Tribolium castaneum: one gene and its partners. The protein of the gene in region 7 purifies or fractionates together with the protein of the main gene of each other region. This does not show direct contact. Links are inferred from orthologs where the notes say so. Each region holds a gene or a part of one and is shown on either strand. Other genes may lie near its edges.

Region 1 (2,873 bases), about 840 kb from region 7:
ACAGAGTCAGAGCTATTTTTGACTCATTTTAATTATGTATTAATTAAGCGAGAAATTATATCTTTTGTTTGATTTTTTCACACAATATCAGTGGCCTTTTAATGTAGTGTTAAATAAAGCTGATTTTTCAATTTGCTTTTGATAAAAAGAAGTAAATAATAAATATATAACACTATGTTAGGTAATTCACTTCGTAGAAAATCATATATTTTAAAAAAGATATCGGTAGGTTTTTTCATAACGTAATAAGGATGAATGAATCAAAGATAACAAACGCTAACCTACATTAATTTTATCTGTGTGTTCTATAAGTGTTCTGTTTAATTTTACTTGCTTGTTGATTTTATTTTGTTTATTAGGAAACTTACATAACCATGAGAGTATACCAGGGTGAAACATATATTTTTATGAAAATGTCTTTTAATTTTAACTACTATTGCAGATATTAAAGGTTTTACTATTTTCTGGTGAAAATTTTTATTTTGGACTGTTTAATTTCAGTACATTCGTAAAATAAAACTATGTATTGTATATTTTAGGAGTCCAAGCCGGAGTAGAAAAATATCGTATCGAGATGGCGACAGAGACCGAGAAAGGCGCCGCGACGACCGAGACCGAGAAGATCGCAGATACAGGTAAGCTTAAAAAAGTATCCCTCCCGTGTGTACGTGGCACATGTCGCACATAATCGGACTAAAGCGTTGTCTGGGTTGGAGACGATTTTTTGTTTGAATCACAGCGAGCTTTCCTCAACTTTTACTTTAAATAATAAATGTACGTATGTTTTATTTTTTTTCTAATTCTTTTTTTGGCTTCACGTGAAACGTACCTCGAGTCGACGAATTTTGCACCAAAGTTTTTGACTGTCGTACGTATTTGGTACAACCATGTCATAGATCATTTTTTGATTTGGCCTTTCAGGTCGCGCAGTCGATCACGCTCAGACAGACGTTACAAGTCCTCGAGATATTCACGTAGTCACTCGCGTTCCCCCGGCGACCGGCGGTCGCTCTCACATAGCCCTATGTCTAGCCGCAGGCGCCATTTGGGGACCAGGGACAATCCAAAACCTTCGCGGTGTCTTGGCGTTTTCGGATTGAGCGTCTACACGACAGAGGACGAACTATATCACATCTTTTCCAAATATGGGCCGCTTGAAAGGGTGCAAGTTGTCATTGATGCAAAGGTAAAACACATACTTGTAAATAGTCAACACCACCCTGTGATATTTGAGAGAGTCTGGCTTTCAGTGCCTATTTTCTTGATGCGCACAGGAAGATTATAGATAGTGTCCCGTGCTGACATTTTTGATACTCCTCAATGCTCAGCTCCGTTTACACTACGACATTTTCTCTTCTTCTTTAATACGTTTCTTGTTTGGTGAAGCCTTGAAACTCATTTATTATTTGTTTTTGTTAGACTGGACGCTCACGAGGCTTCTCGTTTGTGTATTTTGAAAATACGGACGATGCGAAAGTAGCCAAAGATCAATGTTCTGGTATGAAAATAAACGGTAAAAATATTCGAGTCGATTATTCTATCACAGAAAGGGCGCACACACCGACGCCTGGAATATACATGGGAAAACCCACCTAGTAAGTATTCTTTCCTCGTTTAAATAACTAAGACAGTATTTTAATATTGTATTCTATGGTGCTACTTCTTTCTACTATTGTATGTAGGACAAAAAGTGTGTTGCAGAATTTTTCTAATATCCAAGAATCATTTCCACATGTTATGCGTATCCGTATCATGTTTTACTGATTCTTGGTAGAAAAAGCCGAAAGAATTTCAAGTTCGAGTAAGTTTGAAGGGAATAGAATTAGTGTCGTGAAGTGAAGACACTCGTAAAGGCTCCTTCTCACATTTTCATTGCAAATCCATTTCAGATGTGTGATTTTTGTCTCTTTTTTGCAGTAAATATAATGATCGTTACGATCGACGCCGGGATAGAGAGTAAGTTTAGCGATTTTTGCAAGTGATGTGGTTTTGAATTCGTTCTCTTTTAAGTGATTATTATGGCCGTGGTTCGCGCTACAGCCATAGACGTTCTCCATCGCCGTATTACAGGCGACGTCGTTACGACCGTTCGAGATCTCGCAGTTACTCGCCTCGTAAGTACCCTTTTAAAGTTTTGCCACGCCGGTGCAATTTTAAATTTAGCGATAAAGTGTTTGATTCTAAGACGGTTTAAAATTGCATTAAAATAACATTTTCGTTGATTTATTTTGGTATGTGGTGTTGCTTTGTTTTAATTCGTGTTTATTTTAATGTTAATTTCAGGTCGTTATTAAACTTCGTGGGGGCACTGCATTTATTGGAGAGATAAACCGTAGTTGTAACATTTCGGTGGAGTTTATGCCAGTATTGTAGATGTATATTTTTTACATTTGGTTTTTAATGTATGATGTTCCTGGTGTAATCTCCATGCGTTATTTTATTGGTTTATTTTTCATATTCGCGCGTTTGAGAGAATGTCGGCGGGTTTTAAGCGCCATCGTGGATTTTGTATAACTGATTCGAAACTTGATGCCAATCGAATGGTTGAAAGTTTTGATATGTAGTGTAGTTTTTGTTTGTTCTTTCTTGGTTTTCTTGAGTTCAATCTGTGACACTTAGATAAGCTCTAATAAATGATTGATATCAACACTAATATCGTTTTCTTTGTTTAAAAAGGGATAAGAACAAGAGGTTTGGGATGAATTATGAAGTTTATATAAGAAATAGAATTTTCTCAAGTTACCTTAAATCACTTCTCTGAAGCTTATTTCAATGAATCAGCTAAACACACGAAATGAATTGTGAAAATACATCCATCAAGAGAATTGAGAAATTTTTAACAACTCTCTTGAAGAATGAAAAATTGTTTTCTT
Region 2 (4,142 bases), on a different chromosome or scaffold from region 7:
ATGTGTCACTCAAAATATCACTTTTCAACACCGCATTTAAAGATTTTAATTGCAATTAAGTTTTATGAAATTATTGGTTTGAGAAATAAATAAATACGACACAGCAATAAAATACACCTACCTTCATATCGCTTCCACGTTGGCTACCGTTTGTAGCATTAAAAAAAAATAATAATAATATTGAAACCAAAAAAATGTTTATTTGCATTAAATTTTGAGCAAGCCACTTTCATTCATTGAAATTAAAGACAAAATTATTACGTGGCAATTAATTATTTGAGTGTTTGATTATAATTTTATTTACTGTATTTAAAATGTGTCACTCAAACGCGATCACTAGCCACCGAATTGAAAATTTAAACCGGAAAATTTAGATTTGCTTGAACACACGTCCGTTCGCGACAACGGCAAGTAACAAACTGAATAAATTGAACGAAACCGCACAATACACAATAATTTAAATAAACCGACTCACCTCGCTTCGCCTCGCCTCCCGCTCCCGCTCCCGATCTGACCCGTACCACTGCTCGCTGTCGACTGAACCGCCCTCGCCGCCTGCGCCGCACACCTAACCTCGGATGTGACGTCATCACACGTCTAAAACAGGTCATAACCAGAAACATTCACTGTCCAAATCCGTCAAATTTAGAAACATTCATACACAGAATTATTCAAAATAGAACAGTATTGATCTAGAAAAATTAATTATGACAAATGTATTTGTCTATAAACGTCTAAAATTATAAAAGTTTCGCATGCAGTTAATGGAAAAATAAAAATGCATGTTTATATTTAAACAGAAACTGGCAATGTGAAATTTTAGTGCGAAAATTAGTGGTAGAGCTCGGAAACTCTGTAAACGACCACGATAGGCGGAGCCAATGCGTACTTCATCGAGTGAGGAGATTGAGCAGTGGCGTAGCAAAAAACCATTCTATGATCAAGAAGGGTTTGAGATTCATAATTTGTAGTAGTTAAAATTTCCTCTATTCAATAATTGCAAGATGAAATAGTAAAAATCATATCTAATGCTAATACACGTTGATTTCCTAGAAATACAAAGCAGAGAGGTCGAATAAATAAAAATACACAATGAGTAAAGAGTAAAAACGCGTTTATTGCAAAAAATGTTTCTACTGGTATCTTTACTATAACTGGTAATATTGAAATGTTAAACTTTAAGACGAATTCCCTACACATGTAAGTACACGCCACGCCACTGTTTTCTGCCAACACCCCTAATTTAAAGATTGGACTCGTCCGAGACGAGTTTTCGTATCTGCGCACTCCTACCACCGTGGACGATCTGTCATTTCGCGGACTCTAACATTATTTTTGACCTTTGACAGTTGTTTACAAGACGATTCCGGTCGCTTATTCAAGTATTTCACACGAAATTGAGCGTTTTTCACGTTGGGGGCCCTCCAAGCGTTGCATTTAAGCAATGGGGGGCAAATTCGAGTCGTTACGGGTCGAATACCAGGTGGGCCCCGACATAACCTCAAACGCCACTTCTAACCCGGTTTTTAGGACGTTTTACGCAAATCTTTCAAGACCAAAACCACCGATTTGATCGAAACTAAAGCCAAACACTTGTCGAAGTCCGCCATCGACCTTAAGGCCCCTCTGGACCAGGCGTTCCGCGACGTCTTACTCGAACTCCTTGAAAAGGAAGTCAACGTCTCAGTCTTACGCGAGTTGGTCGATTTTAGCGTCCTAACATGTCGCAAGGAACTGAGCAACCCCACAATGCCAGTGATGCTCCTTTCGGACATTTTTGACGCCTTAACGCTGGACGCCTGTCAGGAAATGTTCCTCTACGTAGAGAACAATGTCGAAGTGTGGAAAGAGAACTTGTTTTTCAGTTGTTGCAAAAATAATTTACTCAGGTTGTGTAACGACTTATTGAGGCGGTTATCTCGGTCCACGGCGACCGTTTTTTGCGGCCGAATTCTCCTCTTTTTGGCCAAGTTTTTCCCGTTTTCTGAACGTTCAGGTTTGAATATTGTGAGCGAATTTAATTTGGAAAACACGACAGAGTATGGCACGGACTCGAGCCAGGAAAAGGGGGGCGACGTTGACGGCGACGAAAAGAAAAACGTGATCGATTTCACGTTTTATTGCAAGTTTTGGTCGCTCCAGGATTTTTTCCGGAACCCCAACCAGTTGTACACTAAAGTGCAATGGAAACTGTTTTGCACCGTAATTATTTTTGCGCATTTTAACCGATTTTTATTATTTTTTTTAGTACGCCACGAGTGTCTTTAACACGTTCCAAGGCCTCAAGCTTGAACACGTGGAAAATAACGGGAGCTATTGTGACGAAAGTAAAAATAAAATGTACTTTTCCAAGTACCTGACGAGCCAAAAATTGCTCGACTTGCAACTGTACGACGTCAATTTTCGGCGCGCCGTCCTGTTGCAGTTTTTAATTTTATTCCAGTACCTTTCATCATCCGTAAAATTTAAATCGTGAGTCGGTTTCTTTAAACTAGACGCACCTTTAATTTATTTTTTTAGCGAAAGTTTCGAGTTAAAGTCGGACCAAAAAGAGTGGATCCAATCAAGCACCGAAAAAGTCTACAGTTTGTTACGCGAGACTCCTCCAGACGGTAAACGATTTGCCGAAATCGCCTCAAATATTCTAAGTCGGGAGGAGTATTGGAACGCTTGGAAGAACGACGGTTGTCCCGAACTGAAAAAATCGGTGGTTCCCACGGAAAGCCCCGACAAGCGCCGAACCGAAGAGCGCCCTCTCTTAGGCGACATCATTAAACAGGCCTCCAGTGAGGGCAAATACTACATGGGAAGCACCGAACTGACCAAACTGTGGAACCTATGCCCCGATAACTTGGAGGCTTGTAAAGGCCGAGAGCGCGATTTTCTCCCCACACTTGAGGATTATTTCGCCGATGCCATCGCCCAAATCGAGTCACCTGGCGCAGTCAAAGACGAAGACAATTTACTGAAAGATGGGAATTACGGGTGGCGGGCTTTGAGACTCTTGGCTAAGCGCAGCCCCCACTTTTTCACCTACAGTACTGTGATTATGAACCCCCTGTCTTCGTATTTGGAGATGATGGTCAAGAAAATAGCGCATGATAAGCCAGGTCGCGTGACCGAAAATTCGCAAGAGTCGCAACAAAACGACGCCGAGGAAGAAAATTTGTTTAAGGACACGCAAGTTGATGAAAACACCGAAGACATCAAACCGTCCGAAACGGAGGAATTTATGGACGATAAGAACGCGCGAGTCGAGCATAAATTAAACCCGAACCAGTTGCAACTCTTCAGCGAGAAAGTGGCCCCCAATTGGAAAAAACTAGCCAGCAAGTTGGGCTTCAAAACTGACGAAATCCAGTTCTTCAGTATGGAAAATGAGAAAGAGGTGGACCAGGCCCGTAATATGCTACAACTGTGGTTCGATGACGACGAAGATGCCACTTTGGACAACTTCTTGTACATTTTGGAAGGGTTGGAGATGGAGGAGGCGGCGGAAATTGTCCGAAATGAAATCAATTCGATGGATTCCTAACTGTATTTAACTCGTTTCGCCCTATTTTTACTTTTCAATTTGCGTTTCATATGTAATTGTTTGTGATCAACCTTGGGACAGTCCCGTTTTTTGTGCCCCGGTTGTTTACAGTGGAAACAATCCTTTAATAAAATTATTAAACCTTGAATTGGGAGTTTGAGACTGACCTGAGTAAAGACCAAGTCGCCGCATTTGTGGTCCGGTTGGCAGCACCGACCACATTTTTCGCAGTGCTGCCAACTCGGTTTAACGCACCTTGCACACATGGGACAGTGGGTGTACGTCCGGCCGTCTTTCGAGGTGCATTTCTGGCAAATGGGGCAGTGTTTGTTTTCGTTTGAAACCCATTTGTTGCACTCTTGGCAAAATTTGTAGCCTTCATTCGCCGGAAGGACTATTTTACTACAATTTTTTGTCCCGAAAAGTTCGTAAAAATCGTCGGCTTACCTCGGGTCCACGTTCGTGAAAATTCGGACGGGTGACCCAAATTTCCGCGCCTTAGCGCCGTCTTGAAACAAAGGATGGTTGTCATAGTCGACTTTATAATCGAGCATGGAATAGTCGGGGAGGCTGTTTAGTATTTGCGGTTCCATAAAGTAGGGGAATA
Region 3 (4,044 bases), on a different chromosome or scaffold from region 7:
TTTAATTCTAAATTAGATCTTAATTTCACTTTCTGTAAACCGGCTTTAAAACTGTTTTAATTGTTTTTAATTTAAGGAGCTTTAGTTGTTGGTACAACGATAATCAACAAAATTGCTAGGTTTGCTATTTTTTGAAATGTGTCAAATTTTAACAGTCCTTTAATAAAATTACAGAATAGGTCTTAGTGTGTGCAGTTTGGTAAAAACAGTTTATTTATGCGTTTGTTATGTAATTACTACTTAGTGTTGGTACAGTTTTTTGTTTTAATAAGTACTTCCACTAAAAATTTACGATATGATTCGGTAAATGATCTCTTTACCTATTCTTAGGGTTAAATTAAACGTTAGAACTATCATAACTTCACAAAAAAATGTAAAACTTTTAGCTCTTCATCTAGTTTTGAACGCCTCCACAAAACACAAATTGAACTTGCTCAAAACGATTTCGGGTTAAATTCAAATTCAAATTTTGATCAAACTAAAGTATTGCTGTTTCAGAACAATAAAAACGCCAACGTCGCATTTTCTCTCAAAATTAGCTGTTAGAGTTTATTCCAAAAATGAGTGAATTTTGGCATTAAACATACATAGGTAAACATTTACTATTGAAAAAAAAATGACCATAGGCGTCGTTATACAATGTCTGTCAAATCCACTGTTAGTATTTAAAAAATTGTGGTAATTAAGTACTGTGAAAAATAATAAACAAATTATTAATAATAATTAATAGTGATATTTCTACCTTTCTCCGTTCTCAAAATTTATTAATGTTAAAATGAGAACTAAGTAAACTTTACAGAAAAAAAATGCACGCCCATGTATTTTTATGTCACTGTCAGTTCGCCACCAGATATGGAACAACCTCTATAAATTATTCATGCACTTCAAAAAAATAATAACTAGTGTAATTTATACTTTCAATGAGAGATCTAATCATTAATAACTATTTTACAATTTTATCAATAGTATTTAAAAAAATAATTCGATAAAATGCGACGTTGGCGTTTTTATAGTTTTGAAACAGCTAATAGAGGCAAATGAAATTAATGTACAATTAAATTTTATTTTAACAGAGAAATTATTCCGGTGACCCTCAAACCCCGTACCAATACTTCGGAGTTGAATAAAATTCTTAAAAATAAAAATTCCCTGAGTGTGTTGGCAGTTATCTCATTTCTACACTCTTCTGTAAACACACTGTATTGTACTGCAACCCTCCATTCGAATTTGGCGCCACACCCCGTCCAGATGGCTCTGCCATCACAAACGCCCTCACGTCGCCATCTTTCCTTCTTGTTTATCGCCGATTTCGTCCACTTTCCAACACGAAACGATGTCCAACAGCCGCAACGACTGCCGAATCTACGTCGGGAATCTGCCCCCGGACATCCGCACCAAAGACATCCAAGACCTGTTTTACAAATTCGGCAAAGTTACATTCGTCGACTTGAAAAACCGACGGGGACCTCCTTTCGCCTTCGTCGAGTTCGAGGACCCCAGGTAAGCCCCCATGTGGCCTCGAAACCCTCTCAGTGTGCTGATTTAGGGACGCGGACGACGCCGTACATGCACGGGACGGTTACGACTACGACGGCTACCGCCTCCGGGTGGAATTCCCGAGGGGCGGCGGCCATGGCAGCTTCAGGGGTGGCCGCGGCGGCGGCGACAGGGGACGCAGCTCCAGGGGGCCACCAGCTCGCAGGTCGCAATTTAGAGTGCTTGTGACAGGTGGGTTTGTTAATTTGATTTGTGTTTTCGTTTTTTATCGCGAAAATCATTCGAAATATAATAGGAAATAAAGGTCGGAAAAGCGATTAAAAGGAAAGTCATTTAGTTTTTATTTACAGAATTTTTCGAAATTACACACAAGGGTATTTTAGCATGTGTGGCTGCCACCTACGATTTGATTTTTTAAATTGTGAGGTTGTGTTTTCATTGCATCGTTTCTTGAATCGTCAATAATTTATTATTATTATTACATTTTTGTTTTTTTTTTGTAAACTATAAGATTAGAGCGAAAATAAAAAAAGCATGAAAATACATTTAAAATTGTCTTATCTTTTCGTAAAAACATATGGGCTGTTCGTTTTTATTGTTACAACTTTTAAACAGGTGATAGCACACTCAATTTTAGGAGAAAAGTTTCCTACAAACATGTATCGAAGAATATTTCATAAGGGGTGTTCCTTTTAGTGTAATTTAATTTCCCCAATATTTCAGAAACCATGGCATATAAAAACACAAAATTTGGTACAGATAATAATCTCTGTACGTCTAATTGAATTCGAACACCAAATGTACATATTTGTAATCAGGGACGTCCCAAATTGGGGGGTGGAGGATAAAAAATACCCCAACTATTTTGGCTTTCGTTTTTTGACAATTTTAGAAACGAAGGCACATTTCTTATGGGAATTTAAGGACCACTCAGATTGAGTAATTTTTATAATATCAATCGATGCGTCTTAAAAAGCTGAACAAATCATATCATTGCGTCAAACGTGTAACTTAATTAGGAATGCCGGAAATTGCAATCGAATTGAAGATTTGTCCCATAATAAAAGCATTGGGGCGGCTTTTCGGTGAGAGCTTGTAATCCAGATTGGGGGTCAGGTATAGGGAACAGACACTTTTATGGAAATAGGGATTTAAGCTGACAAGTTATATCTCCAACAATGAAGTGTTATACTCGAAAATAAAAGTTTTTGGAAATTGTAGATTCTGAAAGTAGACACAAAATGATGTCTAGTAATATCGGTCTGAGTTTTTTTAAATCGGTACTTTTTTAGTAATAATAGAAAATTCGCGCTGTGACGTAAGCAATGTCTCGACTAATGATTCGTCAGTCTTTTGCTGCATACAATTAACGCTACGACCTACGTTTGGGTTGGTAAACGTTAAATATAAATGTCAAAACCGTGCGTTGTTGATTGTGACTGTTGTGTGCTAATATTTTGCAGGAGTTTGTGTTTTGGTAAAATGACTGCTCCTGCAGCACATCTGAAGTCGTATGTAAAACAACAGAGGCAGAAATTAAGAAAAAACGGACCACTAGAACCAAATTGAAATCTACGTCTTTTTGGCTTAGGCCGCATTTGTAAGAAAATGTCGACGTTTTGTCCGTTCTTCCTCGGGACAGGTTCTGGTCGCGAAACCTTCTGTTCATCCCTGATTTTCATGTTATTTATGGTCTGTAACATACTGTTTATTAAGAAACGGTTAGTTGTATAGAAATAACACAAGAGACCATTTTTATGGAAAAAACTATGGAATTTACTATTTTGTTATTAAATTGTCAGAAAACTAAAACCAAAATAGTTAGGCCTGATTGCTCAGTTCAAGCTGAAGCTTTCGCTTACATGAGGTCGGTTTATATTTAAACTAAGTTTAAACCGTAGTTGTGTTGTTGAGTGGAAAGTTTAGCTAAACCGCGCTGAACTTGTCACTTACGGGGTTGGTAGTTCTGAACGCTTGCGCACTTCAAGTATGAGGTTGCTTGACGAAATTTTAACAGTTCTGATTTTGAAAAGTTAAGTTAATATTTTGGTACATTGTAGGAATAATATTGTTATAATGATATTTATGCTTCCTTCTGAAAAAGAGCAATTTATCGTTTTCTGTCTTTTCTTTCAAAACACAGCAATAAACTGATTTGCACAGTTTATTTGTTGCTTTTGTGCATTTGAAGACTTGGGCGTCCTCACTTTTTAAAACTATGCTGTAATTAAAATCACATAATATTTACTTAGTATCAATAATTCTAACAACATTATTCCCCTGACTGTCGGATTTTGCTGCAGCAATTAAAAAAGTTACTGAAATAAGAATAAGTAAATTATTATCATTATACTTTTTTTTTAGTTTTTTTTTAAATATAATAATAATATATTAACTTACATGTTGTCTATTCATTACTGTCATTGTTCAAGTTTATTTGTTTAATTCAAACTGAACCGAAATTTATTTAAAAAAACTGTTTCTGTGCATCATTTTTGAATCCGGAAATTTAATAGTTCTTCATCATTATTGTTAAAAGCAATTTTT
Region 4 (3,953 bases), about 2.1 Mb from region 7:
GTAACTTTATATTCAAACAAATTAATACTGTGTGATTTTCTAAAATATTGGTCTAGTTATCCGTGACAGTTACGTTAACCCGATCTCCATTACGGAAATAAGATTCCAACATATTTTTTTTGGTTCTTCGGTGAACATTTTAGACATATTGACAAATAAAGCGATGCTAAAGTTATTTATGCAAAATGTTTCATTGATGACGTATCTGTCATGGATAACTAGATCAGAATTTTAAAAAGTCGGTTGGTAGTTTATTATAATAAGATAACAGATAAATTGCTTCGATTTGAAGCATTGAACTATCGTAGATGCCAAATAATTTTTAATTTTAAAAATGATCGCTTCCCTGTTGAATAGAAAACGGGTAATGAATAGGAATTAAATTATTTATTAAAAGATTTTCTAATATATTTTGTGGGTTTTTGCAATTATTTTCTAAAAAATGAATCTTAAAGCGTTAATTCCGTTAAATAAATCGGAAACCATTTTTAAGCTTTACGTGTAAGTCTTTACAATTTTTTGCTGTCTAAATCTTCTTAAAAAATTGAAGTTATTCACAAATACAAATGCATCGTTTTTAAAAAGAAGACACAACTTGATCCAAAATTTAATAAGAAAGTAAATTTTTTAAATATTTCTGTCATCTACCACAACTTCGTTAAGATGAATATAAGGTGTTCGTTTGTAGTCAAAAAGTTTTATTTCTTTTCTTCGGCATACAGTTTTATTCAATCCGGTTTTATTAAAATTAGTTGGTGCTTTGGCGTCCTCTGACTCCTTTTTATTTTTATTTGTATGCTTTTTTCCATTTATTTTTGTTTATTTTTAAAAACAACTATCTTAATATTCTAATTTAAAATGGTATTTAAAAGAGCTTTTGGCGAAGCAAGTTTGCTCTTATGTTCTTATAGTTATAGTTTTTACCAAAAAGTTGACTAAAATAAAAAAAAAGTTTTTTTTATTTAAATAACATGGCTTGAAACTACAATAACAACTGTTTTTTTAGTGATATATGTGTCCGGAAAAGTACTCTTTCACGGACTATATTCCGTCCCTTCACTAATTAATAATTATATTGTTTTTTTTCATTATCCCCAAATTAATAAGCAGATTATTATAGACAACCAGTAATTCAGCCCCACATTACAAGTAATCTATGGACACTTGTCAATTTGTAAACTGCATTTTTCTAACCTCACTTCCAAGTGTTGTGTGAACGTTTTGGAGTTACGTTTTTAACTCGCTAAAATGTCTTTGGCCGACGAATTATTGGCTGATTTGGAAGAAAACGATCAAGATGATTTGGAAGAAGCGATGGAAGTTGATGAAAAACCGGACATCAAAGAAGAAAAACCCGACGTTAAAGACATCCAGTTAGAGGTAGACACAACTCAAATAACTTCAGTCCGAGAGTTGTGTAAATTACGGGACTCGCCCCATTTACATGAAATATTGAAACAAATCGAAGACCATGTGAAGAAGAGCCGAAAATACCACGACATCATAGGACCAGTTGAGTTGGACCCTGAGTATCAACTGATCGTCGAAGCTAACAACATTGCTGCAGATATAGACGCGGAAATTGGTAAGAGTTACGATTTTAACCAAATCAGTTGAAACTAATCTGTTTTATTGAAGCCACTGTCCATAAATTTGTGCGCGACAAGTACCAGAAGCGGTTCCCCGAGTTGGACTCCCTTGTTGTTGGTCCTTTGGAGTACTTGAAGACCGTCAAAGAGCTCGGGAATGACTTAGACCAAGCCAAAAATAATGAAATTTTGCAACAATTCCTAACGCAGGCAACTATCATGGTTGTCTCAGTCACGGCATCCACGACACAGGGGATTCTCCTAACGGACGTCGAAAAGAAACAAATCGACGAAGCTTGCGACATGGCCATAGACTTGAACAACTTCAAACTGAAAATTTACGAATACGTTGAGAGTCGGATGGCTTTCATCGCCCCCAACTTGTCGGCGATTCTTGGGGCTTCGATCGCCGCCAAGCTCATGGGGGTTGCCGGGGGTTTGACCCGATTGTCCAAAATTCCGGCCTGTAACGTGCAATTGTTGGGCCAACAGAAGAAGGCATTGTCTGGATTTTCACAAGTGAATATGTTGCCGCACACTGGTTTCGTTTATTACGCAGATATCGTGCAAAATACTCCGCCTGATTTGAGAAGGAAGGCTGCCAGACTTGTTGCCACTAAATGCACGCTAGCAGCACGTGTGGACTCGTGTCATGAGAGTAAAGACGGACGTATTGGGCGGCAATTACGCGACGAAATTGAACGAAAACTGGACAAGTTGTTGGAACCACCCCCAGTTAAGTTTATCAAGCCGCTGCCGAAACCTATCGACCAGTCCAAGAAGAAAAGGGGCGGGAAAAGAGTCCGCAAAATGAAAGAGAGATATGCGATGACTGAGTTCAGGAAACATGCCAATAGAATGAACTTCGCTGATGTAAGTTTGGTTTTTCTTGTATTAAATTTTTCTAGTATTGAAAATATTTCTTACATTGAAAATTACACAATATTGTTAGCCAATCTACTGTTGAAGCAGCATTATAGTTTCATTAGATTTTGATAACATACTAGAGATCACAATCTTCTTTGCAAAAAGTTTTCTATGGGTTTGATGAAAATGCAGTTTTATTATTCTCTTGATACTTACAAGACCGGTATCAATAAGTTGTAACGAATAAGCGAAACACATAACTTCAGGTGTACCCCAGTGCTCAGTTTTGGGCCCAATCCTTTTTTTAATTGGGGTGTTCGATGTTTTAACGAAATAACTCCAGTTTTAGTCTTTTTGAGAAAAATATAGAAACGTATGCTATAAAATTTTCTCTTTCAAATGCAATAACTGGTTTTGTAATCGATTGATTTATTTTAATGTCATTAAACAGTAACAGTTGTTATAACACCGAAAATTTGTGGACATTTATTCAGTGCAATAATGAGATAAGTCCATCAATCGTTTTTTTACTAGTCTAGTGATTATTGTTAAATATAATGTATTAAAGCTTCCGTATTATAACTTATGTCAAAATAAGTTTAAAAAAAATAGAGACAAAAATGCAGTAGTAACATTGAATTGAGTTAAATTTTCACGGGTTTTTAAAAACCAAACGGCTTTCAATTTGAAAAAAAAGCGGTTTCGTCTGTAATTCTGTACTGCATTCCTCCTCTTCGCGTTTTATACTAATTTTTATTTATTTATTTTTCAAACAAAATCGATTACCATGATACTGAATGGAATCAAATAAACAATGATCTAAAAAGAATAGCCAAACATTGCAGTAATGTTAACTTAAAACTCAATGAAAATAAATATTCAGTCTTATACTTTGCATCTAAAAGTTGTAAATATTTTGAAGAATAATATATTAATATTTATATTATTAGTAATAAATTAAACGTTCTTGCAAAAAGAAAATCTCTAGGACTTACATTGACAGTGGAAAACACATTATTCATTATCAAAAAATGGTTCATCTCCTTGAAACTCTTACGTTCTAATTATCACATTCAGATTTCAAATTGAGAAATAAACTTATTGAAACTTTGGTAATTCTCCTTTATCTATTATTGCTTTATAATCTTATCCTTGTTTAAATGATGTTGATAGTTGAAAATAGATTATACAAAATTCAAAATATAATGTTATATATACAAAATTCAAAATATAATGTTATATTTTGAATTTTGTATCTTTGGCTTAAAAAAAATGTGATTACATTTCTAAGGTCGAGTTGTATCATCTTTAGTCCTGATTTAAATCCCTAACAATTATTCTCATAACAATGGCTATGGGTTTAATCCTGAAATTTTTTATACAACTCGACCTAAGTGTGTTTCTGACTTAATGTTGGAACTTCGGGATAAGATACTTGAGACTTCTAATAAAAGTATATTTAATATGAAAGTAAATCGAAATACAAAATGACGGAAT
Region 5 (3,529 bases), on a different chromosome or scaffold from region 7:
CTCTCCAAAACTTTTTGCATGGATTTTAATTCGTTATAACTTTCTTTCTCACATTTTTCTTGTATCTTTGACACATTCACACACATCATTTGGAAAAATATGAAACGGAGCACATTTTTTTCTGTTTGTCGTGAAAATTTTGGTCGGCAGTTTTTTCTCGGATTCTAGCCTTTTTTTCAAGTAATTAGTGAACTAGTTAAAAAATTAATATCAAGCGTTCTGAGCTTTATTCCATTGTACTGGTTAAAAAAATCTGCTTAACAAAAAAATCACAAATAAATTACGAAAATTTGGCTCGAAGGTGAATAAAAACAGCACATAAAATACTAAAGAAAAATTTATTGATATAAATAAAATGAATACAAATTATTTGAACGCTTTTTTACACCGCCAGTCCAAATACTCATCAAAATCTTCATTATCGTCTTCATTGGAATCATCCTCTTGATCTACTTTGTCCCCACTAGTGTGTGTTATAATCGTTTCTTTCTTCTTTTCTAAATCTAAAACCCTACAAACGCCGTTCAAACACCACAATTTCTGCAACTCAAACGACCATACCTCGATAATTTCTTCATTTGTTCTTCGATTTCATCAATTTGTCGCTCATTGGTCGCCTCCTCTTGATCTTCAGCAATAATCGCGGCACTTTTACTGTCAGCTTCGCGAATTTCCTTCTGAAATTTCTCCCATTCTTCTTCAACTGGATCTTTGTATTCCTGATTCCTGGCTTTGGCGTCTAACTTCGGGTCATCGAAAAAACCTTCAGGTATCGTTTCAGTATTGTCATCAACTTCCATTTTCTCTTCCCGAGGTTTTTTCACCGGTAAGATTGGGGCACCGTTTTGTGACTTAGCGTCAAAGAAATCATCGGGAATTTCCTTCTCTTCACTTTTACTTGAATTAGAGTTTTTCAAAATTCCCTTGATTTTCTTCTGGGGCACTTCCATAGGCGGCGTCAAGGGCCGTTTCAAGGGAGTTGTGAAGTTGTTCGTTTTTTCTTTGAGTTTTTTGGCGAGTTCTACATTTTCGCGGTGTTGTTTCGAATTTATGTGGACTGTCCATACGGCTTCCGATTTGACAACGGACTTACACAGCACACATGTAAGCTGGCCTGAATCGTTATACTTAAACTAATATTAAAGAAAATACAAAAAGAACGATAAATAAAAATAAAACAAGGGGTAGGTCGTGAAAGGATATTTTGCAAGAGGCGACTCTATCTTTTTGACGTCTTTTTGCAACTTGCTTTTCTCGCTTATTAAACGGCGGAATTCCGTCTGCACAAGCTTCTTTTTTGAATTTTTAAACGTTGCAGACATTTTTTTACCTAAAAACGTAACCTAAAAAACAAAACTGTCAACTTGTCTGTGACAGTGGACCAAAGATGGTGCCAACTGGTTCCAATATCTTCCACTGTGGTCTGCGTATTATTTAGCAGTGATTTATATCAGGAATTGATTTTTTGAAACAAAGACGACTCCCTGAGGCCCTTGGGAGGCGAAAACTTGCATAAAAACTCTCACTGATTTGGGAAATTCAAAATATATATTCAATAATTTGGGGAATTTGGTGTTTCGGGTTGGCAAAGCGGCAAAAACCACGCTATAACCTCACATTTACTCGCGCAATGGTATTTTTTCATAACCAATTTTCTAAATTAAAACCATATTTTCCAGTATTCTGTTTTACACAAGAAGGAGAATGCGCACGAGGAAAGCATTTGGAGTTGTGCGTGGGGCCGGTACACCACTGAAAAAAAGAAAAAAGACCAGAATGAAGAGGAAAAGTCCCGGTTTGTTTTTCCGTAAAAAAACTCTAAAAAACATAACAAGGTGCTTTTTAGAGATTCGGTGATGTCGGACGAGCCTCCCGTTGATTACATCATAACGGGAGCTCTAGACGATCTGGTAAAAGTGTGGGAATTGCAAGACGATAGACTTGTTTTGAAACATAACTTAGAAGGGCATTCGTTGGGGGTTGTCTCCGTTGCCGTTAGCAACAACGGGAAATGTGTGGGGCGCATTTGAGCATCTGGGTAATTGTTTGATTAGTGTGTGCTTCCAGTTCGTTAGACTCAAGTATGAGGATTTGGGACTTGGAAAGGGGGAAAAAAATCGCGCATGTTGATGTGGGTCCGGTTGAACTGTGGACTGTAGCGTTCAGTCCTGACGACAAGTACATTATTTCCGGCTCACACGCTGGAAAAATCACGGTTTATAACGTGGAAACGGCCAAAGCTGAACAAACTTTAGATACGAGAGGCAAATACATTTTGAGCATAGCTTATGTAATTATTTATTTTTTACGTTTATTTTTTTAATTAAAATTTGTAGAGTCCTGACGGTAAATACATAGCTAGTGGGGCTATTGACGGCATTGTTAATATTTTTGACGTGGCGGGAAATAAACTATGGCAAACCCTTGAAGGCCATGCTATGCCAATCAGATCTCTTTGTTTTTCTCCAGATTCTCAACTACTTTTGACTGCGTCAGATGACGGCCATATGAAACTTTACGACGTGTAAGTAGGCTATGATTTTGAATTAAGTGGTGCCAACTTAATTTCAAAGTCGCAGTCACGGAAGATAAAATAATTTTGGTGTTTTTTAGGCAACATACTAATGTTGTTGGTACCTTGTCAGGGCACGCTTCTTGGGTCGTAAGCGTTGCATTTTCTCCAGATGGTAAATATTTCGTGTCAGGAAGTTCCGATAAAACTGTTAAAGTTTGGGAATTGGCCTCTAAACAATGTGTTCATACGTTCAAGGAACATAATGATCAAGTAATTTTTTTGATTGTATTTTTTTTATTTGTTATTTTCAATCGTTTGTTGCAGGTTTGGGGTGTTAGGTTTAGTCCAGATAGTACCAAAATTGTTTCAGTGTCTGAAGATAAGAGTATAAATGTTTACAGCTGTCCAGTTTAGTTTACACTTCGTAATTTATTAATTAATTGATTTAGTGAAGTGTATTGCTTAAACACCTAGTTGTATAATTTTTTTTATAATAAAGCTATTTTTACATCCATTGTTGGTATTATTGCTACCACATTACTTCTAAAATTTCCTACTTCCTACTTCCATATTAATTTAATAATTTTGTGGTGTTTCTTAGGAAACACGTCAGCTTTTTGCATAGTTTGCATGACTGATATTATTATTATCTATCTACTAGTCAAATTGACAATAATTAAAATATCGTAAATCAAACCATATTAATACAGGGTGAGAATAGTGCGTTACTTGTGACATGTTTTAAGATGCAATCAAAAATACTAATTAGTCTTACCACTTGACTACTTCGTTTAATTTTTAAAAACATTAATTAAATCAACACCGATTTTTATCTTATAAATAATAATAATCTATAATGAAATTTTAGCAAAATTTTTAAAACAAACTTGACACTACCTATAACATTGTAATCATAGATTAAATTTTATTCTTTAACGATTACCGAGAGCTAGAAACAGTATTATTGGTTGCATATCTAAGGAAACTTAAAAATAACCCTCTATTGACTCAACC
Region 6 (3,768 bases), on a different chromosome or scaffold from region 7:
TGCTAGACATACGTACAAAAAAGGGATAAAATTAATGGCTTGGAACGACGTGGAGTTAACTCCCAGAGGTAACGCTCGTTTGAGATATGAAGCACTGGTCGATGAATGTAGAGTAAGTAATTTTTTTAATTTAACAAAACAACGAAAAACGTAAAATTTTCAGCTTCATACAGACACATGGGCAAGATCAGTCCTCTCTTACCAAACAGATAAAACAACGAGACTACCAATTATAGATGTTGCAATCAGAGATACCGGAAGATCGAACCAAGGGTTTTCAGTGGAAGTTGGCCACGTTTGCTTTTCTTAACAGTTTAAACACAACACTTACATCACTGCCATTGTAAATACAAGAGTATTATAAATGTTGTAAAATTTTATATTTTCTATTGATCTGAATAAGGTGCTATACAAAATGTATATTAATATTTTAGAATAAAATTCTCGATTTATAACCGCATCTTCACCCACAATTAAAGGAGTTAAATAAAACAAAGAAGTCCACATACATATCAACTTTATTAAGACAGCAACATACGGAATGAATGACAAAAAAATTACAGGTCACTCAGAAAAGCTAATTACCTAATCATTCAAACTAAACAAAAACGTTTATTTATTTTACACGTTACTCCGACTTATCGCTCGAATTTTGCCTTTTCATTGACTTGAGAGCCTTTTCTCTCAACTTTTTCTCATCGTCATTAACAACTTCGACGTCACTATTATCAGAGTCTTCACTTTCTACCTTTTTCTTCTTATGTTTCTTATGTTTTTTCGAGTGCTTCTTCTTCTTTTTATGCCTCTTGTCTTTCTTGCGTTTCTTCGACTCAAGTTCTTCATCAGAATCGCTCGCCGATTTCGTAACCTTCTTTTTACGTTTCCGCTTCTTCATATCTTCCTCACTGTCTGAAGAGCTGTCCCTTCTGTGTTTCTTTGACTTGTCTTTATCGACTTTCTCAACTTCAGAATCATCAGAACTCTCCACTTTCTTTTTGCTCTTACTCTTAGGGACATCACTGTCACTCGAATCATCTTTTTTCGATTTACGGCCTTTGTCGGAACTATCAGAACGTGCACGTTTCTTCTTAATCTTTTTATCATCTTCCGAATCGGAACTCTGGTGACGCTTTTTCTGCACTTTATCCTCGCTGCTGTCGCGCCTACTTCTCTTACCGTCTTTGCCTTTCTTACTCTTGACTTCCACTTCGGGACTACTGTCTCTATCCTTCTTCTTAGAAGTATACTCCACTTCACTATCACTGGAACTCGAATCGCGTTTCTTCGTCTTCTTCTTCGCCTTTATCTTCTTCCTCTCCCTCTCTCTTTCTTTCTGTCCCTCACTATCTGAATCACTTGAGTTTGAATCAGTCTCACTCTTTGAAGGTTTCTTCGTAACCTTCTTAGTTTTCAATTCAGCCTTTTCTTTGAGTTTCTTCTTATCGTCCTTCGCAGCAGGAACTGTCTTAGTTTTAGGCGGGAATTCGTTTGCTTTTATGAACGGCGACGGCGTTCTAGACAAGCTTCGCGAATATCGTGGCGGGCCGTGAGGAGGAATCAAATTATTATCCTCTGGACTGATACTCCTAGACTTTGACTTCTTCCTATCCTTGGATTTGAAGTCGCTTTCAGTTTGACTATCAGAAGTACTAGCCTTGCGTTTCTCTTCCAATTTCTTATCCGATTTGTGAAGATCTTCTCTTTTGGAATCGTCAAGTCGACGGAAAGATTCCTCTTTCCTGTCGTCCGGTCTCCTAACAGACGGTCGAGACCCACGTGACTCGTCCCTTTGGTCCCGACGATCATTTCTAGTCACAGGACTCGGACTAGGCTTGCGTAGACGTTCCCTAGATTTACCTCTAATTGGTGACTTCCTCCTCAAACTTCCCCTATCACGAGACGACCTCCTCCTCGACCTCGACCGCCTATCCCTAGACCTGGAGCGCCTTCTCTCCCGGGAAAGTCGCCTGTGGTTCCGGTCACGGCTTCTACTGCGTCTAAGCCTCCTAATTCAAAACATAGGAATATTAATACCAGACAATAAAATAAATTAATAATACTAACCTATCCCTGCTGCTCCTCCTTCTGCTAGGACTGCGCCTCCTCCTGCTGGGACTCCTGCGGCTTCTGCTGCGTCGTCCCCTTCTGTTCCTGCTCAAGCTCCTCCTCCTGCTATAGCTGCGTCTCCTGCGAGGGCTTGCTCTCCGCGGGGTGCTCCGCCTTGAACGTGAGATGCTCCGCCTTCGTCTACTCAGACTCCTCTTGCTTCGCGATGGACTACGTCTGGAAGCAAAAATCTATCTGTAATTTGAAGTAAAAATTAAAAACTTACAACTAACAATTTGCATTAAAATCTACGACAAGAACTGTATCTTACAATCCGAAACAGTTTTTGTATCTACTTTTGTTTGTGGTTCAGTTGGCAATGGCGTAAAGTAGGCTATGTTCTCAAATGTCGAAAAGCGGCCATGGCCAACTGAGATAAATTCTGTCCTCCAACAAGGAAGAACAACTTGATATATCTTCTAGTTATTAATTCAAATACAGTCTAAATCAATCGATTTTTCTATGTATCAAGTTTTGTTTTTTTGATGTTAGCGGCCTTACAACGAAAAATCAATTGATTTAATACAAAATAGCAGATTCTGTTCCCATAAGTAAAGTAACAAGCGCCTAAAAATGAATGACATCGTAGGGTGTGTTGGCCAGGCCAGCGTATATCTAAATGAGGCCTAGCCAAAACATACTACGATCTCATTCATTTTTAGACGCTTGTTATCTCATCTAAAAAAATTACTCAAAAAAAAATACACATTAATTCACAAATTAGACAGAAAAAAAAAACAAATATCTTAGCTGAGATACGCCGGATATAAGATTTAAGTGGATCTCGACCAAACAATAACGGTAAATTGTGGAATTATTGGTGACATAAAGCAAAATTAAGTAATGATACGGCCGATAAATAATTTGGAGCGGCAATTCACCACTAGGGACAAGATTTATCGATCATTTTGCACAAAAAATTACTGTTTTTATAATAGAAATTCATTAGCATTACTGAGTAGTTACAAGAGCCTCATAAATTTGTGTCAGTGAGAATATATCGCATATTTTCCATGATTATTTATTTATTATAAACCGAATTGAAAAACTAATATTTTTTTCTCGTCTCTGACATAAATCTACAGAAATTCAAAAACACGAAAAATTACAAAACACGATTTTAAATTAACAATATCTTAAAAAAATATATTTAAAATAAAATATTTAAAAGATCTCTCTTTCATGCAGTTGAACGGTCGAGTTCCCCTTAATAAAAACAAAAAATCGAATGCTAGTTTCAAATAGAAGATAACTGTTTACGTATTGCAAATTTAGAAGTATTGAACCACTGACACAACACTGTTAAAGAAATGACTACATACCATGTCATAAACTGACAATTAACTCTGTATCCTTGTTTTTAACGGTAAAACACATAATAGAAATAAAAATCCCACCTTCTCGAAAGACTCCTCTTTCGGCTTAGGGACCTCTTCCTGGAGCTGCTCCTCTTCCTGGACAAGCTCCTCTTGCGTCTGGGACTCTTATCCCTGCTGTTTTTCCTGGCGCGTCGCGGTGACTTCGACAGTGACTTCTTCCTCTTGCCCTTGTCCTGGTCCGGTTCGCTGTCGGAGCTGTCCTTGTTGGATCTGTAGTGGCGTTTCTTCTGGACGCTGTTCTCCTTCTTCCTGATCTCGAAGTTGTCCTTGGATCCGTCCGAAC
Region 7 (4,143 bases):
ATATTTTGTGGACGTAGGGACGGACTAAATCGTCCAATTTGTACAAAATTCGGTCTATGACTTTGACTAACAAGTGACGTTCTTGGTCCTCCAGAGTTGGACTCATTAAAAGGGGCAAAATTTGGTTAAAAAGGGGCCCTGCACCGAATTCTCGAGCCTTGTCTGTGATTTGCCTCAAGGCGGCTTTTCGCATGGGAGGGGTCCCGTTTTTGATCTTTAGGAGTAGTTTCATTATTTTCCGTTCTTTCTGTTCCTCAGGACTCAAAGCTTCTTCATCAACATCGACCAATAATTTATCAAAATATTGCGCATCTTCTGGTTTCATGAACGGCAAATTCTGCCCTTTTGGTTGATTATCCAGATATTTGGCTGTCTTATCTTCCTGTTGGATGAAAAATCCCTGGGGAGTATTAACCATGGGTGTGGGCGTGGCTGTCAATTTCCTTGCTGGCGTCCTGATGGGTATATACCCAGCCGGAGGTGCCAAAATCTTGTACCCCGGCGGAAACATCGCATCCAATTCCTCATCCGAATACGGCCTATTCCTCTCGTCAATCTCCCGCTCCCATCGATAGGCCTGGAGTTGTTCCGGAGTCATGGACGCCAAGTGTCCCGGAGTGGGCGTCGCCATGGCCATCGCCTTGACTCCGACCGGAGTTGACCCGCCCGGAGTCAGCATCGGAGTGGCATGGCTTGGCGTTCCGTGCGGCGTTTGCGGCGTCATAGCACCCGGAGTCATGTGCGCCGACGGTGTCTGAACAGAGGGAGTTTCATCCCAACGGGAGCGGCGTTTGGACGCTCCCGGAGTCGGTGTTTCGTGAATCAAGTCGGCTCCGGTTCGGTCGGTGCGCGGGGTTTCAGCCCAGCCGCTCGAATGTCCCGGAGTTTCACGCTCGGTTTTGGGTGTTTCATCCCAGCGGTTTCGACGACTGGCACTCTTGTCATGAGCGGGCGTTTCGCGACCTGGAGTTGCAGCCCCGGGGGTCGCGTCCCAGATACGGGTGGATTGGCCGGGGGTGGCGCCCGGCGTTTCACTGCCTTTGTGGCCGGGGGTTTCGTCCCAGCGGTGGTCGGCTGGAGTTTTCTGTAATTTTTTTATTAATAATTGGTTTTAAAAAATTGGGATTGTTACGTCAGCATCCCAGATGGGGGTAGCAGCTGCACTGTTGGTCGTTACGGAGAGAGTTTTCTTTTTGCTGGGGACGACGACTTCGTCTACGGTTTGGTCCCAGCGCCCCCGTTTCTTAGGTGCGCTCTTTACCTCACCGTTTGTTGATTTGAGTGAACCGTCTTTGGATTTTTCCAGAATTTTTTTCCTCAACTGAAATTAAATTACAAGTGGTCAAAGAAATCAACTTTGAGTTAACAAAGGACTCCATTGCCGGACATAATTACGAAAAAAAATTGGCTAGGTGATAAATTTTTGATACTGACCTCGTTTTCTTCTCCTTTGAGCATCTGCTCTTTCATAATCTGGGTGTAACCGCGGGCATTGATGTCTGGTGTTTTGCCACCTGTAAACATAACAGCGTTGAAAAACGCCAATTAGTAAACGGAAGCACTTGTTGGCAAAAAATGGTCAGACTTTTCTATTTAGTATCTGTTCTTTATTGAATGATTGAAAGATTTGGTTGCACCACAATTCACTCAAACTGATTATTTTTCGAATATTGGGGATTGAAAGGGAGTGAATTTGGCGAACAAATCTTGATACGTACGTGTGATTGTGCTCCATCACAAATCAGGCAGTTTCTCGCAAAACAACTGGTCAAATCGAACCTAGAAATAGGCTGGGGTAATTAATAATTTTCTATACATTGCATACACTCTTTCACTCTTGTTCGATTTTCGTTTACCAACGTTACATTTTACGGAAGTGATCCATTAAAATCGCGGCGATTACTTCTCTAGGAAGACACCCCTAAATGTTGGAATCCAATACAGAACAAATTAGTTTCTTTGTACTGATTTTTATTTAATGCCTACTTTCTCGAGTATTTTTGCTCACTCATGCATCCATTCGCTATCTTTCATATACCCCAATAACATACAAAACTTGAGATAAGCGACAGCAACAGCATTATCTCAAATTTCATATAAAACATAAACAAGTGGAAAAACGAGCTATAAATACTTGGACGAAATCAACTACTCACCGTCAGCGAACGGATCAACACGTTCGGGTGAAATAATCATCCGACGCCTCTTTTGCCTGTACTCGTCCTCTCGATCGGCAATCGTGGGCCTCCTCTTGTCAGCAAACGGATCAAAATCCTTGTCGCTCTAAACAACTCAGTTAACTACCACAAAACTTAAATAACACAAATCTCACCTGAGCGACATCATTGAGGAGCGCCACAGGGGCCCCCAGTCCGGTCCGTTTCTGACTATAACCCACATCGTCGTCCTCTTCATCGGCTTCATCGTTGGCGGCGATCGAGGTCACATAACCCTCGTATTTACCCTTACCGCCGCCCCCATCGTAGATCTCACTATCAAAATAGCCACTCTCGCCTAAACCTACACCCTTCTCGTTTCGCTCCTCTTCCACCGGAATTTCCTTCTTTTTAGACTGGATTTCACGAATTTGGGCCTCGATGTCTAGAGACGCAAAAAAGTCATGAAACGGGCTTTTGGGTGCAAAAAACAGCGTACCTTCATGAGTCCTTGGTATCTGTTCCATTTTCTAGCACCAATGCTTGTTGCTTTGGCTTATTTCGTTTCAAAACACTTTCAAGGAAAATCAATGACAAGCTTGCGTTACAAAATGGCGACTCATTAAGCGCCTGCGCGAAAATGGACCAATAGCCAGCCTGTCGCTAAAGTTGGCGGGATTTATAAATAAAATTCGGTGGAATACGTTTAAAAATATATTACGTTTTCTAAATTATTACAAGTATCATGATAATCCCTATAATCACAACAATTCTAAGAAATGTACAACAAAAACTTAAGAGCGTCTTCTTTTGCTATTTTCATAATAGGAATCATCAGATTTTCGCTTCCTGTCCCGTCTGTAGTCATCATTGTTATGCCGTGAGTGCTTTTTGTCCCTCCTTGACCTGTCCTCATCGGAACTTCTTCGCCCATTCTTTTCGTTCCTTTTACTGATTGCTTTCTCCACAATTTCCAGTTTCCTGTAATCAATTAATTAATAGTAAATTAAAAGATCTTTGTACTATTTTTTGTAATTGCCCCCTTTTTGTCGTTTTTAAATAAAAAATATTATTTTAATCGATTTAGGGATTTTTGAATTTTTGTAAAATTGTCATTTGTCAAAATTCAAGGCTAGTATGATTTTGGCAAAATATGGCTATAACTCAGTCTTTCAAATGGAACGATCCTTTTTTCTTAACAGCAATCGAACATCAATATTTATGGTGACTTTTATGAACACGTCCTATACCCATTTCCTACATTTTTAGAAATAATTACAAAAAAAAACACGGATTTTACTTCGTAATTTTCATAGTTAATCAAGTAGACCTTGCAAAATGGTCAACAACTGTCCAACTTTTATTTAGTTTTTAGTTGATTTATTATCAAATAAGCAGTACTTTTATTTAATAGCACAACTTTATCGTATTTTTCGAAAGTTTACTCGATTAAAATTGAAAACAATGAGCTTTTGGTCTTTTTTTTTTGAGATTATTTTAAAAAGTATAAGAGATAGATATAGGAGATATTGATAAAAGTCTCCATAAAAATCGATATCCTTTTGATTACCATTCAAAAATTTGAAAAAACTGTTATAATTACTTTTTGATCAATTTCAAAAAATCATAGTAGTCTTGCAATTTGACATTTGACAATCCTGAAAATTTGAAAAGACCCTTTGAACCTTTGGTTATCGAATACTAATATAATTATTTATTTATTGTAAAAGTTTCAAGAGTTGTGATTTTTTAAATGAACTACTGCAAATGAAAATTTTCGTACAAAAAATTGATATTCGACTAAAAAGTAGAGTACATTGTCCTCAGTTTTAAAGTCGAAACTTACTTAATCAATGCCTTTTTCTCCTCTTTGGACATTAGTTTAAACTCTGACGACTTTTCCTTCTTCTTGTGTTTCTTCTTATCATCTTCCGATTCCTCCTCAGAGCTCGTACTCTGATTCCTCCTCCTGAACTTCCTCTTCCCT

The links.
Region 1: the proteins of Sf3b1 (region 7) and transformer-2 protein homolog beta purify together in Homo sapiens (co-immunoprecipitation; 3 studies listed by BioGRID and IntAct, with this or other methods). This does not show direct contact. The link is inferred for Tribolium castaneum from reciprocal best matches to the Homo sapiens genes SF3B1 and TRA2B.
Region 2: the proteins of Sf3b1 (region 7) and Hpr1 purify together in Homo sapiens (co-immunoprecipitation; 4 studies listed by BioGRID and IntAct, with this or other methods). This does not show direct contact. The link is inferred for Tribolium castaneum from reciprocal best matches to the Homo sapiens genes SF3B1 and THOC1.
Region 3: the proteins of Sf3b1 (region 7) and SF2 fractionate together in Homo sapiens (co-fractionation; 3 studies listed by BioGRID and IntAct, with this or other methods). This does not show direct contact. The link is inferred for Tribolium castaneum from reciprocal best matches to the Homo sapiens genes SF3B1 and SRSF1.
Region 4: the proteins of Sf3b1 (region 7) and Prp31 fractionate together in Homo sapiens (co-fractionation; 3 studies listed by BioGRID and IntAct, with this or other methods). This does not show direct contact. The link is inferred for Tribolium castaneum from reciprocal best matches to the Homo sapiens genes SF3B1 and PRPF31.
Region 5: the proteins of Sf3b1 (region 7) and superkiller complex protein 8 purify together in Homo sapiens (co-immunoprecipitation; 3 studies listed by BioGRID and IntAct, with this or other methods). This does not show direct contact. The link is inferred for Tribolium castaneum from reciprocal best matches to the Homo sapiens genes SF3B1 and SKIC8.
Region 6: the proteins of Sf3b1 (region 7) and Srrm1 purify together in Homo sapiens (co-immunoprecipitation; 3 studies listed by BioGRID and IntAct, with this or other methods). This does not show direct contact. The link is inferred for Tribolium castaneum from reciprocal best matches to the Homo sapiens genes SF3B1 and SRRM1.

Annotation. Positions count from the first base shown.
Region 1 is NC_087395.1:15,203,854-15,206,726, forward strand, and holds the end of transformer-2 protein homolog beta, read left to right. Parts: intron 1-539; coding exon 540-635; intron 636-921; coding exon of another isoform or gene 922-1,032; coding exon 1,033-1,186; intron 1,187-1,419; coding exon 1,420-1,595; intron 1,596-1,917; coding exon 1,918-1,956; intron 1,957-2,010; coding exon 2,011-2,114; intron 2,115-2,283; coding exon 2,284-2,294; 3' UTR 2,295-2,373; downstream 2,374-2,873. UniProt on the Homo sapiens protein: Sequence-specific RNA-binding protein which participates in the control of pre-mRNA splicing. Can either activate or suppress exon inclusion. Acts additively with RBMX to promote exon 7 inclusion of the survival motor neuron SMN2.
Region 2 is NC_087399.1:4,612,862-4,617,003, reverse strand, and holds Hpr1 (THO complex subunit 1), read left to right. Parts: upstream 1-1,342; 5' UTR 1,343-1,444; coding exon 1,445-1,483; intron 1,484-1,530; coding exon 1,531-2,202; intron 2,203-2,248; coding exon 2,249-2,472; intron 2,473-2,520; coding exon 2,521-3,535; coding exon of another isoform or gene 3,536-3,657; 3' UTR 3,658-3,683; downstream 3,684-4,142. Other genes in the region: rRNA N6-adenosine-methyltransferase ZCCHC4, read right to left, coding at 3,532-3,657, 3,703-3,937, 3,983-4,142. UniProt on the Homo sapiens protein: Component of the THO subcomplex of the TREX complex which is thought to couple mRNA transcription, processing and nuclear export, and which specifically associates with spliced mRNA and not with unspliced pre-mRNA.
Region 3 is NC_087401.1:8,588,123-8,592,166, reverse strand, and holds the start of SF2 (serine/arginine-rich splicing factor 1A), read left to right. Parts: upstream 1-1,244; 5' UTR 1,245-1,333; coding exon 1,334-1,500; intron 1,501-1,546; coding exon 1,547-1,728; intron 1,729-4,044. UniProt on the Homo sapiens protein: Plays a role in preventing exon skipping, ensuring the accuracy of splicing and regulating alternative splicing.
Region 4 is NC_087395.1:18,107,641-18,111,593, forward strand, and holds the start of Prp31 (U4/U6 small nuclear ribonucleoprotein Prp31), read left to right. Parts: upstream 1-1,153; 5' UTR 1,154-1,248; coding exon 1,249-1,585; intron 1,586-1,638; coding exon 1,639-2,462; intron 2,463-3,953. UniProt on the Homo sapiens protein: Involved in pre-mRNA splicing as component of the spliceosome. Required for the assembly of the U4/U5/U6 tri-snRNP complex, one of the building blocks of the spliceosome.
Region 5 is NC_087397.1:7,428,825-7,432,353, reverse strand, and holds superkiller complex protein 8, read left to right. Parts: upstream 1-1,496; 5' UTR 1,497-1,630; coding exon 1,631-1,633; intron 1,634-1,679; coding exon 1,680-1,795; intron 1,796-1,846; coding exon 1,847-2,013; intron 2,014-2,054; coding exon 2,055-2,290; intron 2,291-2,336; coding exon 2,337-2,524; intron 2,525-2,613; coding exon 2,614-2,785; intron 2,786-2,839; coding exon 2,840-2,929; 3' UTR 2,930-3,029; downstream 3,030-3,529. Other genes in the region: zinc finger protein 830, read right to left, coding at 367-511, 562-1,133, 1,209-1,322. UniProt on the Homo sapiens protein: Component of the PAF1 complex (PAF1C) which has multiple functions during transcription by RNA polymerase II and is implicated in regulation of development and maintenance of embryonic stem cell pluripotency.
Region 6 is NC_087398.1:3,116,110-3,119,877, reverse strand, and holds the end of Srrm1 (serine/arginine repetitive matrix protein 1), read right to left. Parts: coding exon 3,504-3,768; intron 2,284-3,503; coding exon 2,065-2,283; intron 2,007-2,064; coding exon 629-2,006; 3' UTR 501-628; downstream 1-500. Other genes in the region: collagen alpha-1(I) chain, read left to right, coding at 1-112, 164-310. UniProt on the Homo sapiens protein: Part of pre- and post-splicing multiprotein mRNP complexes. As a component of the minor spliceosome, involved in the splicing of U12-type introns in pre-mRNAs. Involved in numerous pre-mRNA processing events.
Region 7 is NC_087395.1:16,040,037-16,044,179, reverse strand, and holds the start of Sf3b1 (splicing factor 3B subunit 1), read right to left. Parts: upstream 2,801-4,143; 5' UTR 2,684-2,800; coding exon 2,656-2,683; intron 2,602-2,655; coding exon 2,333-2,601; intron 2,284-2,332; coding exon 2,157-2,283; intron 2,152-2,156; exon of another isoform or gene 1,719-2,151; intron 1,515-1,718; coding exon 1,435-1,514; intron 1,322-1,434; coding exon 1,133-1,321; intron 1,085-1,132; coding exon 1-1,084. Other genes in the region: corepressor interacting with RBPJ 1, read right to left, coding at 2,951-3,137, 4,003-4,143. UniProt on the Homo sapiens protein: Component of the 17S U2 SnRNP complex of the spliceosome, a large ribonucleoprotein complex that removes introns from transcribed pre-mRNAs.